Xenopus tropicalis: one gene and its partner. Each later gene encodes a partner of the first gene's protein in a complex. Links are inferred from orthologs where the notes say so. Each region holds a gene or a part of one and is shown in the gene's direction. Other genes may lie near its edges.

Region 1 (6,055 bases):
TTGCGTGGTGGGTTTTTTTTTGTTTTGTTTTTTTTTTTTTTGTACCAAGGTATGTCAAGGAATAAAAAGGGTTAGGCAAAATGAACTGGGTTCCATGTCTTTTAAAGGTTAATTAGAATCCTGTAACCCATATAAAGTAATTAGCAGTTACATTGTTGTACTTGTCTAGTACAATACAGCCTTTATAACTCACAAAGACCTTCTTACTATATGTGGTCTACTTATGTCACTATTCATTGGTCAGCTATATCATAATGTCATGTTCCATCGGGTCCATGGGAATTATAAAGTAAAATGAGGTTAAGTAGACCCAGGTAGAGAGGTTGGGGTATTTATGCCATGGCTTGCTCAGTGCCGCATAAAAGAGCTTGACAGTTCCCATCAGTAAGTACTGATCCTTATTAACCGTGGTCAGGTGTGTGATAATCCGCCTGGGATAACACAATGCATAGATAATTAACTCTTTTGTGTAGAACACCATTGTAATGGATTTGAGCATACATTGCCATGGGAATAAGGACTCTAATAATTGTAAGTGGAGTTGTCATGGTTACACGAGAGTAACTGCAGAAAAAGGCTTTTCCTTCCTTTATTTAAAATGTGTATATTTTTCTATGATATAATATGTCTGCATTACTAGCTAGATAAAAAGGCTATGTAGGGTAAATGCAGTTGGTGCAAAATGACTAAAGTGCATAGCTTTGCTATCATGGTGGTTCTGCTGTAGGTTGCATTCTTACTGTGGGCTGCTAATTGTTTATACCTAGGCAAATGAGCTGGTGACACCGGTGTTTAATACGCAGTATTATGAATTCCGTGAATAAATCCTATCTATCTCTCCATCAATGCCACTTGTGCCCAACACAACTGTGTATTAAAAGAACGTCTGAGCTGATATTACAGGTCAGCTCAGACCCCATAAAGTGAAACCACATGTCCTGCAACCCTGATCCTTTTTATCAGGGGTCCCCAACTTTTCTTACTCGTTAGCCACAGTCAAATGTAAAAAGGCTTGGGAAGCAACACAAGCACCATAAAAGTTCATGGAGGTGCCAAATAAGGGCAGAGATTGGCCATTAGGTAGCCTCAATGCACACTATCGGCTTACAGGGGGCTTTATTTGGTGCTAAATCTTGTTTTTATTCAGCCAAAACTTGCCCCCAAGTCAGGAATTCAAACATAACTACCTGGTTTGGGGACACTGAGAGCAACATCCAAGGGGTTGGTGAGCAACATGTTGTCCCCGAGCAGCTGGTTGGGGATCACTGCTTTTATAGAATCATAAAACTCCTTTGAGATTTCTTATTTTCCTTTTCTCTTTGTAGGACAAACCTTGAAGCTCTGCAGAAAAAGTTGGAAGAGCTGGAGCTGGATGAGCAGCAGAGGAAGCGTCTAGAGGCCTTTCTCACCCAGAAGCAGAAAGTTGGGGAGCTGAAGGATGATGACTTTGAGAAAGTGTCGGAGCTTGGAGCAGGCAATGGAGGAGTGGTGTTTAAGGTGTCCCACAAGCCGACTAGCTTGATTATGGCCAGGAAGGTGAGATTTTTGAATGGAGTTTAAGTAGAAATAAAGACAGAAGGAAAACGTGAATTTGTTATTAATTTGTGCATAAGAATACAATGATTGACATATTCTATTATTTTCTGGCAGTTAATTCATCTGGAGATAAAGCCTGCAATCAGAAATCAGATTATCCGAGAGTTGCAGGTTCTGCATGAATGTAACTCCCCATACATTGTGGGGTTCTATGGGGCCTTCTACAGTGACGGAGAGATCAGCATTTGTATGGAACACATGGTGAGAATTAGGGAGGGACTTGAAAGGCCAGAGCTCAGAGCCTTTGGGATAATGAGCTAATGATAAGGAGATTTAAACTGTGCTCTAGTCATTAGCTGAGGCATCAGATACACTCAGGACTGTATCTATACAAGGTGTACACCTTTAGGGCGAAGACACACAGGGCGATTAGTCGCTGCTTTGAAAAGTCTTACTGGCTTAATTAAAAGTTGCGGCAACTAATCGGCCTGTGTGTAAACTTGTATTTTCTTTGCTTGATCTTCTATTTTTTGCCCCTGCAGGATGGAGGCTCCCTTGATCAGGTTTTGAAGAAAGCTGGCAAAATCCCTGAGAAAATTTTGGGAAAAGTCAGCATTGCAGTGAGTATTTAGCAAATGCAAATTTGTGATTTATATATATAAGAAAACTATCCAACAAAATCAAATCCTTCCAATTATATGCTCATTCATATAGAGGGCATCCTGGAAAGTAAAAGCTGTAATTTATACTACAAGTTTTAATGTCATGTGTTACACTTGCTCCTGTCAAATTCTGATATCCATTTCTAACTGCAGGTGATAAAAGGTCTAACCTACCTGAGAGAGAAGCATAAGATAATGCACAGAGGTAAGTTTCTATATGGAAGGGCCCTCATTGACTCATTGATGTATAACGCCTTTTAAAATGTTCAGCTTAGGACCGGAAAGATCATTCTGTATTGAAAACCGCTGTTATAGCGTAACAATAAAAAAAACTCACTGTAGCACTAATGGTGCCATGCCAACCACAATGGCTTTATATAGAGAGATGTCTCCTATTAACTAGGATTAGGTGTTTGAGGAGAAATAATGTGCTTCCAGTAGCATAAAGGCATATACCCTACGTAAATCTTAATGTTTAATAGCTCAAAGTGCTTTTATGAGCCCCTTTGCAATGTTATTATTTTCTTTAGTAACAACCTTGCTAAACAACATTAGCTTTATTTTCTGAATCAGGATGTGTTCTATTGATCCTGTCACTAAGCAATAGAACTGAACAGGAAAGCATCAAGAGAGGCTTCCTGCTTCAATAAAATAAGCTTTGCCATTCTACCCAGCCCCCACACACTTTTACCAATTTTACATTCCGTTATTGGGTTAGGTATATGTCCCTTTTAAAAGTCATTTTTTTTTTTTTGTTTGTTTTGCAGATGTGAAACCTTCTAACATCCTAGTCAACTCTAGGGGAGAGATAAAACTCTGCGACTTTGGAGTCAGCGGGCAGCTAATAGACTCCATGGCAAATTCCTTTGTTGGGACAAGATCCTATATGTCAGTAAGTGTCCTCCAGTTCCTCTTCACCCCAGAGCATATGTTCAGTGACAGCTATTCTTAAGTGCTTGTGAAAATACAATGTTGCACAGGGGTTCCCAAATACGAAATGTACATTAATTTAATTGTAGTCATGTAAGGGTTTTGTAAAGCTGTTTCTATTATTTGAGGCAGATTCACTTTGATATACATCTTACTGCTCTTAGGATCTGAACACCCCAAGGGTCCCAAACCATAACACACCACATTTTTCTCAATGTATATTAATAAACATGGTCCTACCCCTTCCATGGTGAATTTGCAATAATGTGTGAATTTTTCAGGTAAATATACATTTGAAACATGTTACAGTCATTGGAGCTGATCTCCTATTGCCATGTTATGTGTTTATGCATCGACTGCACTCTGCACAGAGTCACGTGTGTTCACACTGTGTGTCAGGCAGCAGATGGAGAATGCCCTCCCACACTGTGCAATGCTCCGTGTGTGTGTGTGTGTGTGTGTGTGTGTGTTTGTAATTACAGCTCGTCACATTCTGGCTGTTGGGGGTGGTGATGCTTGTTCTTTGTATTCTGGAAGGAGTCTGCCCTAATTACTACATTACAGATGGTGTATATATTATGTAATGCTACAAAGCAAAGTGCATATACACTTGGTCAGTTACAAAGGTTTGTATGTGTGTAGGGGTGGATATAGATGTATAAGTTAGGGAGGAACTCCTATAACCAGGTAAGTCATCTTGGTACCCATGAAGTAATGCAGACTCAAAAGCAAGGAATTTGTTAATAGCCCTGTTCTGTGCACCTTGCAGCAGTTAGTGCAGAACAAATAAAGTACTTCCGTTTGCTAACTTTCTTAGGTCTTCAGAACAATTGTGGAAGTAGTAAAAGGAAGTTGATATGGGTAATTCAATCTCAAGTTAATTTTCAGAAGAATAGAATGTCCTATTAGCAGCCTTTTTGCATTCTTTTCCTTTGTTTCCTTTATAGTTTTTAAATTGTTTACCTTTCTCTTTCACCTTTCAAATGGGGGAAAAAACTGTTGTTCCGAGTTACTTTTTATGACTTCTTTTTCTATCAAGGCCCTTTCCTATTTGTTCTTTGGTCTCTAATTCAAACCACTGCCTGGTTACCAAGGTACATTGGACTTTCAACAGCTATCTGGCTTCTAGGATCCAAACTGGAGAGTAAGGTTGCCACATGGCCACTATTTTACCAGCCTGGGCAGTAAAAATGATGCTTTATGCCAATGTTATTAAAAGGGGAAAAAAGTTAAAAATATAGGAAGCCTGGTGTTTCCAAAAAAAGGTGGCGACCCTACTGAAAAGTTGCTTAACAAAAAGCTAAGCAGTTGTAAAAAAAACAAAATTTTCTTAGAAAATTACATTCTACAACACACACACAGAACCAGAAAAATGGACACCAACCTGGGGTAGCAAGAGGTACTTACTACAGGTATGGGATCCATTATCCGCAAACCTATCACCCAGAAAGCTCCAAATTATGGGAAGGCCATCTCCCATAGACTCCATTTTAATAAACTCACTCAAAATTTTAAATTTGGTTTCCCCTTTTCTCTGTAATAATAAAACAGTACCTTGTACTTGATCCCAGCTAAGACAGAATTAATCCTTATTGGAGTTGAAACTATCCTTTTGGGTTTAATTAATGTTTTAATTATTTTTAGTAGACTTAAGGTATGGAGATCTAAATTACGGAAAGACCCCTTATCTGGAAAACCCCAAGTCCTGAGCATTTTGGATAATGGGTCCTATATCTGTATATCAATTTAAATAAAATCCTGATTACAGGAGTTGGGCAAGGGAATAGGGTAACAATTTGTGCTTTAGAGATTTTTAATGAAAAGAATAAGCAGAATTTTCATTTTCAGGTCAAGTTTGCTTTGCTCATGCTGAGTACTGTGCATTGCATCCATACTTGCATTTTGTTCTTTCCTTTTGTACATTCTGTACATCTATCTTCAGTAGGGGTGGATTAATACTGAAATAAGCCCCAAGCTGTACCCCACTCCCTCTTCACTGCCTGTGAATTATGGGAAAGGGTCGCCATTATGGGAATTTGGCGCGATGCAATTTTTCTTGAGTTAAAGTGCAGGGTCTGTTAGAAAAGGGTCCAATCGTGCATACATGCATATCTAAAGTATTGACAATTCTCTTCCTTTCCCATTATGCTATAGCCGGAGCGGCTACAGGGCACTCATTATTCTGTGCAATCTGACATCTGGAGCATGGGGCTGTCACTTGTGGAAATGGCCATAGGAAGGTATCCCATTCCACCACCTGATGCCAAAGAACTGGAACTTATCTTTGGGTGTTCTGTAGAAGGGGACCCGGCATCTTCTGAACTGGCGCCTCGCCCCCGGCCACCTGGACGTCCAATCAGTTGTAAGTTATATGCAGAATACGATTTTTTTGGTTGGCTCCATATGTTTCTAAATATTATTGCATTGGATTTTCATGTCTTTGTCTTTCTTTTTGAATGGTTTCTTCAGCCAACCAGGTGATTCCACAAAGTGCAACTTTCCAGTGCACATACATTACTCTTTTTACCCTTTTTATTTATTAGCTTGTTTGGGAACCACAACTCCCACAATGTCTAAATATTAACAATATTTTAAAGAATGCTGGGACCTGTAGGTCGGTAACATCTGGGACTCCATCTCCATCTGTGTCCGGTTTGTGCCACCTATAAAGATATCTTTGCCAATGCAAAAACTTTTTTCTGTCATTTTAATAGGTTACAGTTAAGTCTAACAATATAGTATAACATTCAGTAAACCCACTGCGACAGGGGATTTATATATTAAACAATATCCACCTCTTTTTATGTAATGCCTTTTTTCCTGTTATTTGTTTTTCTCTCCAGCTTATGGTCCTGATAGTCGACCACCAATGGCCATTTTTGAGCTTCTGGATTATATAGTGAACGAGGTGAGTGTAGATGCAACTT
Region 2 (6,055 bases), on another chromosome or scaffold:
TATACCATATTACCAAAAATGGCATGTGGTTAATCCATCCCTTCTGGTTATAGGTTTGGGGCTTGGAACCTAAACCAGCATTTCTGCTGGTGAGTTTACATGTTCTCTAAATCTATGGAGGTTATTGCTGTCCTTCCTATATCTGAACAAATATATAGTCAGGCACAGTTTGAAAACTGTTATGATAGCATAAGCACAGACACAACTTTAACTATTTTTGAATTATATTATTGCTGCATTTTTATTAACAAGCAAAACACATTGTACAAACAAATTTTTGTTTTGGGCATCATTATTTAGCTTTAATCAATTAAATATACCACTGTGATTACCTTGGTAGATCATCATTAAACTGTTATCAAAATACTGATTGAGGTCCTGTTTCATTTCGTTTTGTGCTTATTTGGTTCCCTGCACCTAGAAATTCACTTTTGATCTAGTAAAAGAAAGAGACCCTGTAATTGGAAACCATCAGTCGCCTAACAAATCCTACAATAACAAGATTTTTCTAGGCAACTCAGTGGCACCCTGGGGAGGTGCAGTTAAAAACTGTAGTTAGGAAAAAAGTATAACATTATGTCCCCAGTGATTATTTAGTTTGCTTATGGCTTTAGTTTATCCTTGGTTTATATGAAGCAACACAGTGGCTTTGTCTCTTGTGCAGAACTACTGTAATAAATGGAATCTTCTTTAGTTTTGTTCTGTTCTGTTTTTTTGCTGCAATAATGGTCAAATCTCAGTGATACAAACAGAGAGGCACGCTATTCTGCATTATATCTATTTGGCAATCCAACTGAATCTTGTTTGTTGGCCAACCCTTCCATGCTTGGGCATAGATTGTACCTTTCTTACAGAAGTGAGGGTCTTACCAGCTTACAAAAGTAACTAGAAAAAGCTTGTCAGTAATAACAAAAGTTGGAAAATAACAGCTGCTGATAATGCTAATTGTCGTATTGGCCAATTGGTTTCAAGACAGTTGATTAGTAGATGTAGATTTTGCACCTTACCATTTGATATACAGAAAACTGTAAGATGCTCCACTTCTTCACAATTATTTTAAAAAGTCCTATCATTCCTTATAGTAATACATTGTTATTATGTTGTTAATTTACACAGAGAGCTTGTAGTAGAGCACTTTTGCTGCACTGTTACTACTTTTGTAGCCGAAGCTACAAGAAGCAGTAATTCCTAGTGTTGTATTTTCCTACAAGAAGCAGTAATTCCTATTGTTGTATTTTCCACTACCTACTACCCAGATTCTAGTCCCTAGCCCTCAGATTTGAGCAGAACAGTAGTGTTTGGTTTAAATGTTCTATTAAGGATGGAGTTGAAATTTATTTGAAAGGTAATCTAGAAAGATTATTACACTTATTCAATTTTTATAGCCTCTCTGCAATGAACTGCAATACACTTCATTATCTCCATTCTCAGAAGCATAAAAATGCTTCTTCTTTTTATTCACTTGATAAATGATTGGGTTTGGTATCTCCGAAATTACTGCTCATTATTAGTGCATTCTCAGGTTTCTCCCTGCATGTCTTATTTCAGTGTACAAGCCAAACTCTTCTATTTAGTTCTGTATCTTGTTTTGCTGCTTCCAGATCCCTGGTTTAACCCAGTGCTACCATCTATTTTGTTAAGGGGACCATTTTCTCCTTAGATAATCTGGCAATGCAACTTTCTTACATTGCAAATGCCCTATACACCAATCAGGAAATGTTATAAGCACTTATTATATCTGTTATACTGTGTTGCTTACAATATCAAATTGATGGTTTATTTATAAATTATGCATGTTAAATAATGATAATAAAGATAAATTGATGACTGATGGCATAGTTCATGAAGCTTGAGGGTGACTGTACTTTGCTTTACAGAGTAAACAAAATGGCAGAGCCCTTTGATGTCAATAAATAAAAATATAATGGCAAAAAATCAACATGTTAATATATGTTGATTTAGTAATCCCAAAAGGTTCAATAAGCAATAGACATATAAAATGTGCTTAAATTGCCATGGTTTTACATTGTGTGCAAGATATGAGGACTCCTTTATGATGGCAAGTGTAGTGTCAAAATTCAATTTCAGAAGTAAATCATGTTTTACCCATAATGCAATGTTTCCCTCACAATTTCAGCATAATTTGAATTTGTGCCTGCTGCATTTGCCCCCACTGCATCAAAAAGAACATACCTGTAGTGCACATTTGTGTGAACTGGAATAAAAGTTGTCAGAGTTGGGATTGTGTCATTTCCATGTTAAAATGCTGTTTGCATGTGATTCTTTGTATACAAATCTGCTGTGTCTATTAATTCAACCCACTGTGGGAACCTTATTCAGGTTGGTGGTAACTCCAGGGTTTCCTAGTGTCAATAGGTGCACTTATACACGATTCCTTAGAGCAGACTGGGAGTGTGCATTGGTGCTTGGTGCAAGGAGGGTGTTCAGACCTCAGTATATTTAACTAATTGTGTAAATACTAGCAACAATTGCTTCAATGTTAATGTGCCTGCAATGCAGCTTTATTTGTAAATGAGCCCAGTATTGTTGTTTTGTCTTAGTCAGTGCTGTCGCTTAAGGCCTGCATATACACATGACTTTACTGAAAGGCTTTACTAATGACTTAACATGCACTTCATACACAGTAGTTTAGCATGTAGGCATAACATAAAGGTAGGAAAGGTTGCTCATAAATTAATAAATCCCTACTTAGAGATAGAGTACAGGTTTGGGATCTCTTATGCTTATGCTGAAAACTCTGAATTAAGGGAAGGGCATTTCCCATAAAGTCAATTTTCAGCAATATTTTTTTTAAATGATTTCCTTTTTCAATGTAATAATAAGAGTACCTTGTACTTGGTCCTACTAATATAGCATACATTAGTATTGGTAGAATGACAATCTTATTTAATTTATTTAAAATTCGAATGTATTGTAGGAGACTTAAGGTATGATAATCCAAATTAGGAAAAAGAATACTTGTCTGAAGGACCTGAGCATTCTGGATAATAGATCCTATGTCTGTATATTTTCTGGTTTTAGACCTGATGTTAAATACGACAACAAAAAAGTTACACACAATTTGCAAATGCACATGAAAACTGTGAGAGGTTCGGCATGTAAAAGTACTGGTGGAGTCTACTACTGAAAATCAGTTTTTCGTTTTTACTAAACAGAAGTAAAGGCAGATAATTCATAAACTTATTTTCTGTATTGTAGTAATGAAGGAAATCCATTGCTTCAAATTGAAGTCGAGCCAACGTCTGAGGTAAGGTTTGCCTTGTTTCTGGAAAAAAATTGCTGTTGTTCAGTGGTTAATGGGAAATCACAAAACACTTGTACTTTTACTGCAGAGTAGTAATCCATAGCAACTACTCAGCAATCAGCTCTTGGATATACTGTAGTAAAGCAAATGAAGGCCAATGTCTACATTGTTGAAGCAGGTTAAAAAGTATCACCCCTGATAACGAGAAATAACAAAAGATATATTGACTAAAGTTTTTTTTGTACCTAATTAAAGGAACTGGTAATTGGAAAATGTCAGCCATATATCTGTGATGAATATGGATGAGAAGGCAGGAGTACAATCATTTAATTGTGTTAATGTTTACTCTGTGTAATCTGCCGAACTCATGTTTATTGATTCAGACTTACTACATTATTGAAAGTTATAATGGTAACCATCCAATACCTGTTCAGTCTCAGTCCTTGTAACATGTAAGCAGGATTTTATTACTTCTTGATATGCTGTCAAAAACTTTTGTGAAATTTGAATTGACAGCAATTACTTAAGTATAAAAACCAGATCCCTTATTTAATGTATTTTTATTTATACATTTCCATTGAATTAAGAACTTTTATTTACATGAATTTGTTATGTGAATTTGAAAATGAAAAATGGAAAAACTTTATCACATTAATTTGTAAAGTCCTTGATCCATACAAAAATCTCATTTTTACTTCTGAGGAAGCATCATAAGAAGTATTAATAATATTGGTCCTACACTTTGAGGTTTAATTACTTAAAAGACAAAGCTTTGCTTTAGCAAGCTCAAACAGATGTTCCTGAGGGCACTACTTTTAAAAGGACACTTATTTCAGCCTCCGATAGCAGGAACATACTTTTTGCAAATAAACCTGGTGCATATTCTCACTTCTGCCTACAGAATGAAGATGGCAATGAACGAGCAGAAGAGTCTGAAGATGACTTTGAGGAAATGAACCACTTACTGCTGTCAGCCAGGAACTTTCCCCGTAAAGCCAGTCAGACCAGCATATTTCTACAGGAGTGGGATATTCCATTTGAACAGCTAGAAATTGGGGAGATGATTGGCAAAGGCCGATTTGGCTTGGTTTATCATGGACGATGGCATGGGGAAGTGGCCATCAGACTCATTGACATTGAGAGAGACAATGAGGACCAACTGAAAGCTTTCAAGAGGGAAGTAATGGCTTACAGACAAACACGGCATGAAAATGTTGTTCTCTTCATGGGAGCGTGTATGAGCCCACCACACCTAGCAATTATCACCAGGTAATGTCAGTCTAATTTTTTGGTATTGAGCACTGTTTTACTACATGTACTAGAAAGAGCTTTTCCTGTATGCCATGTTCTATTAAGCACCGTACCAGGAAAAATTTTAGAATGTGTTCTTGGCTTCACTGTGCCAAACATTTAAAAGTTAAACATGATAGTGCCTTATCAGAAAGAAAAAAAAAGTGCACAAATCATGTACTGTTGTTTAAATCTATTTTGAGATGTATTAAATGAACAAATTACTGAATTTTTTTACTGCCAGGTTTATGACTATAGAAGAGCTACGTTTTAGGTTAATTTTTTTTGCCAGAGCATTGTGACCTTATTTCCAGTAATGGAGCTACTGTAATGCTACAATAATTCTCACCTCATACTTTCAATGTTCTACCAGTATGCAAATACTTTCAGTGCCGTGTGCAGGGAAAAGCCTAAGAAGCTAGACCTAAGGGTACTGCCTATATAAAGAATTACTGATCAAAGCTGCAGATCAAGAATGTCTTGCTATTTGACAAGGAGAGATGATGTTTCCAAGGCTGATGCTTTACTGATTTTGGACACAGATCCTGGAGATAGCTGTCCAGAGCACTGTCAGATCTTTGTTGCCGTAGGGGACATATACAACCAGAATTATAGATCATAAAATGTATACCTTCTTGCACATATTGCATGTTGTCTTTCTTTTTTGCATTTTTGATACAAACATATGTATCCATGTCAGAGAAGTACATGGGAGGGCTAGGCTATGACTTTGCAAATATTAGTGGGTGCACCACATTATAGCTGCCCAATGTTTATAGAGTGGAAGATAATAATAATATTAAGCCAATGTTAATAATGGTAAACCTTAAATCTTAAATCTTGGATTAACAGTATAGGGGAATAGGTATAATGTGGGGATAAAAATGCAATAAGATTTTGCATTTATAAAAGTGTGAATGGATTTGCATTTTTAATGTATTCTGGGTTACCAGATCATTTGAAAAATTATGTATAGTAAATGAGAGTTGGTGGTCTTTACTGATTAAAAACAGATTTTGGGGTAATGCAGTCAGTGAAGGTCTTGTAGCTGGATTTTCTAGATGTCCACAATTATTTAAATTATCTTGAAACAGCAGTTTTTGCTGTTTAAAATACCTAATTTACCATAATAGCATAAATATGTGAATAAAAATGATGAAATTAAACTCTTTATAACACTGCCTTTATAAGCTGCCAATTCACTTTTCTTTATATTTCTATTGCTACTAGTGTAAGTGTTACAATTATAATTTCATACATCACTTTGAACAGGCTTTGAATAGCCCTACACTAATGTTCCTTTTGCTGATTTGCTTGGTATTTTTATTATTTAGATATTTTGGTTTATCATGTTCCTGGTTATGTTACATTTAGTTATTGAAAATAATATGGGACAATACAGCATTGCTTGGGGGTCAAAATACATGGTACTGAGTCACCGAATCACTGAATCACACTATCAGTGTGAGTAGCCAGCAATTAAACCCTTGTGTGACATAG

The links. Proteins that work in one complex are often made in the same cells at the same time.
Region 2: the proteins of map2k1 (region 1) and ksr2 are in contact, whole or in part, in a crystal structure (PDB 7UMB), measured with the Homo sapiens proteins. The link is inferred for Xenopus tropicalis from reciprocal best matches to the Homo sapiens genes MAP2K1 and KSR2. Residues at the interface, in NP_002746.1 of Homo sapiens: Val81, Glu102, Met219, Ala220, Asn221, Ser222, Phe223, Val224, Gly225, Thr226, Arg227, Ser228, Met230, Arg234, Leu235, Gln236, Gly237, Met308, Ala309, Ile310, Phe311, Glu312, Leu314, Asp315, Val318, Asn319; in NP_775869.4 of Homo sapiens: Lys674, Arg818, Asp820, Lys821, Leu822, Arg823, Ile824, Gln825, Asn826, Ile837, Arg838, Gln839, Leu840, Ser841, Pro842, Gln877, Pro878, Ala879, Glu880, Ala881, Ile883, Trp884, Gln885, Gly887, Thr888, Met890.

What each region holds. Positions count from the first base shown.
Region 1 is NC_030679.2:117,156,257-117,162,311, forward strand, and holds part of map2k1 (dual specificity mitogen-activated protein kinase kinase 1), read left to right. Parts: intron 1-1,325; coding exon 1,326-1,536; intron 1,537-1,650; coding exon 1,651-1,797; intron 1,798-2,078; coding exon 2,079-2,156; intron 2,157-2,351; coding exon 2,352-2,403; intron 2,404-2,965; coding exon 2,966-3,090; intron 3,091-5,282; coding exon 5,283-5,490; intron 5,491-5,971; coding exon 5,972-6,036; intron 6,037-6,055. UniProt on the Homo sapiens protein: Dual specificity protein kinase which acts as an essential component of the MAP kinase signal transduction pathway.
Region 2 is NC_030677.2:165,076,974-165,083,028, reverse strand, and holds part of ksr2 (kinase suppressor of Ras 2), read left to right. Parts: intron 1-3,219; coding exon 3,220-3,268; intron 3,269-4,166; coding exon 4,167-4,534; intron 4,535-6,055. UniProt on the Homo sapiens protein: Location-regulated scaffold connecting MEK to RAF. Has very low protein kinase activity and can phosphorylate MAP2K1 at several Ser and Thr residues with very low efficiency (in vitro).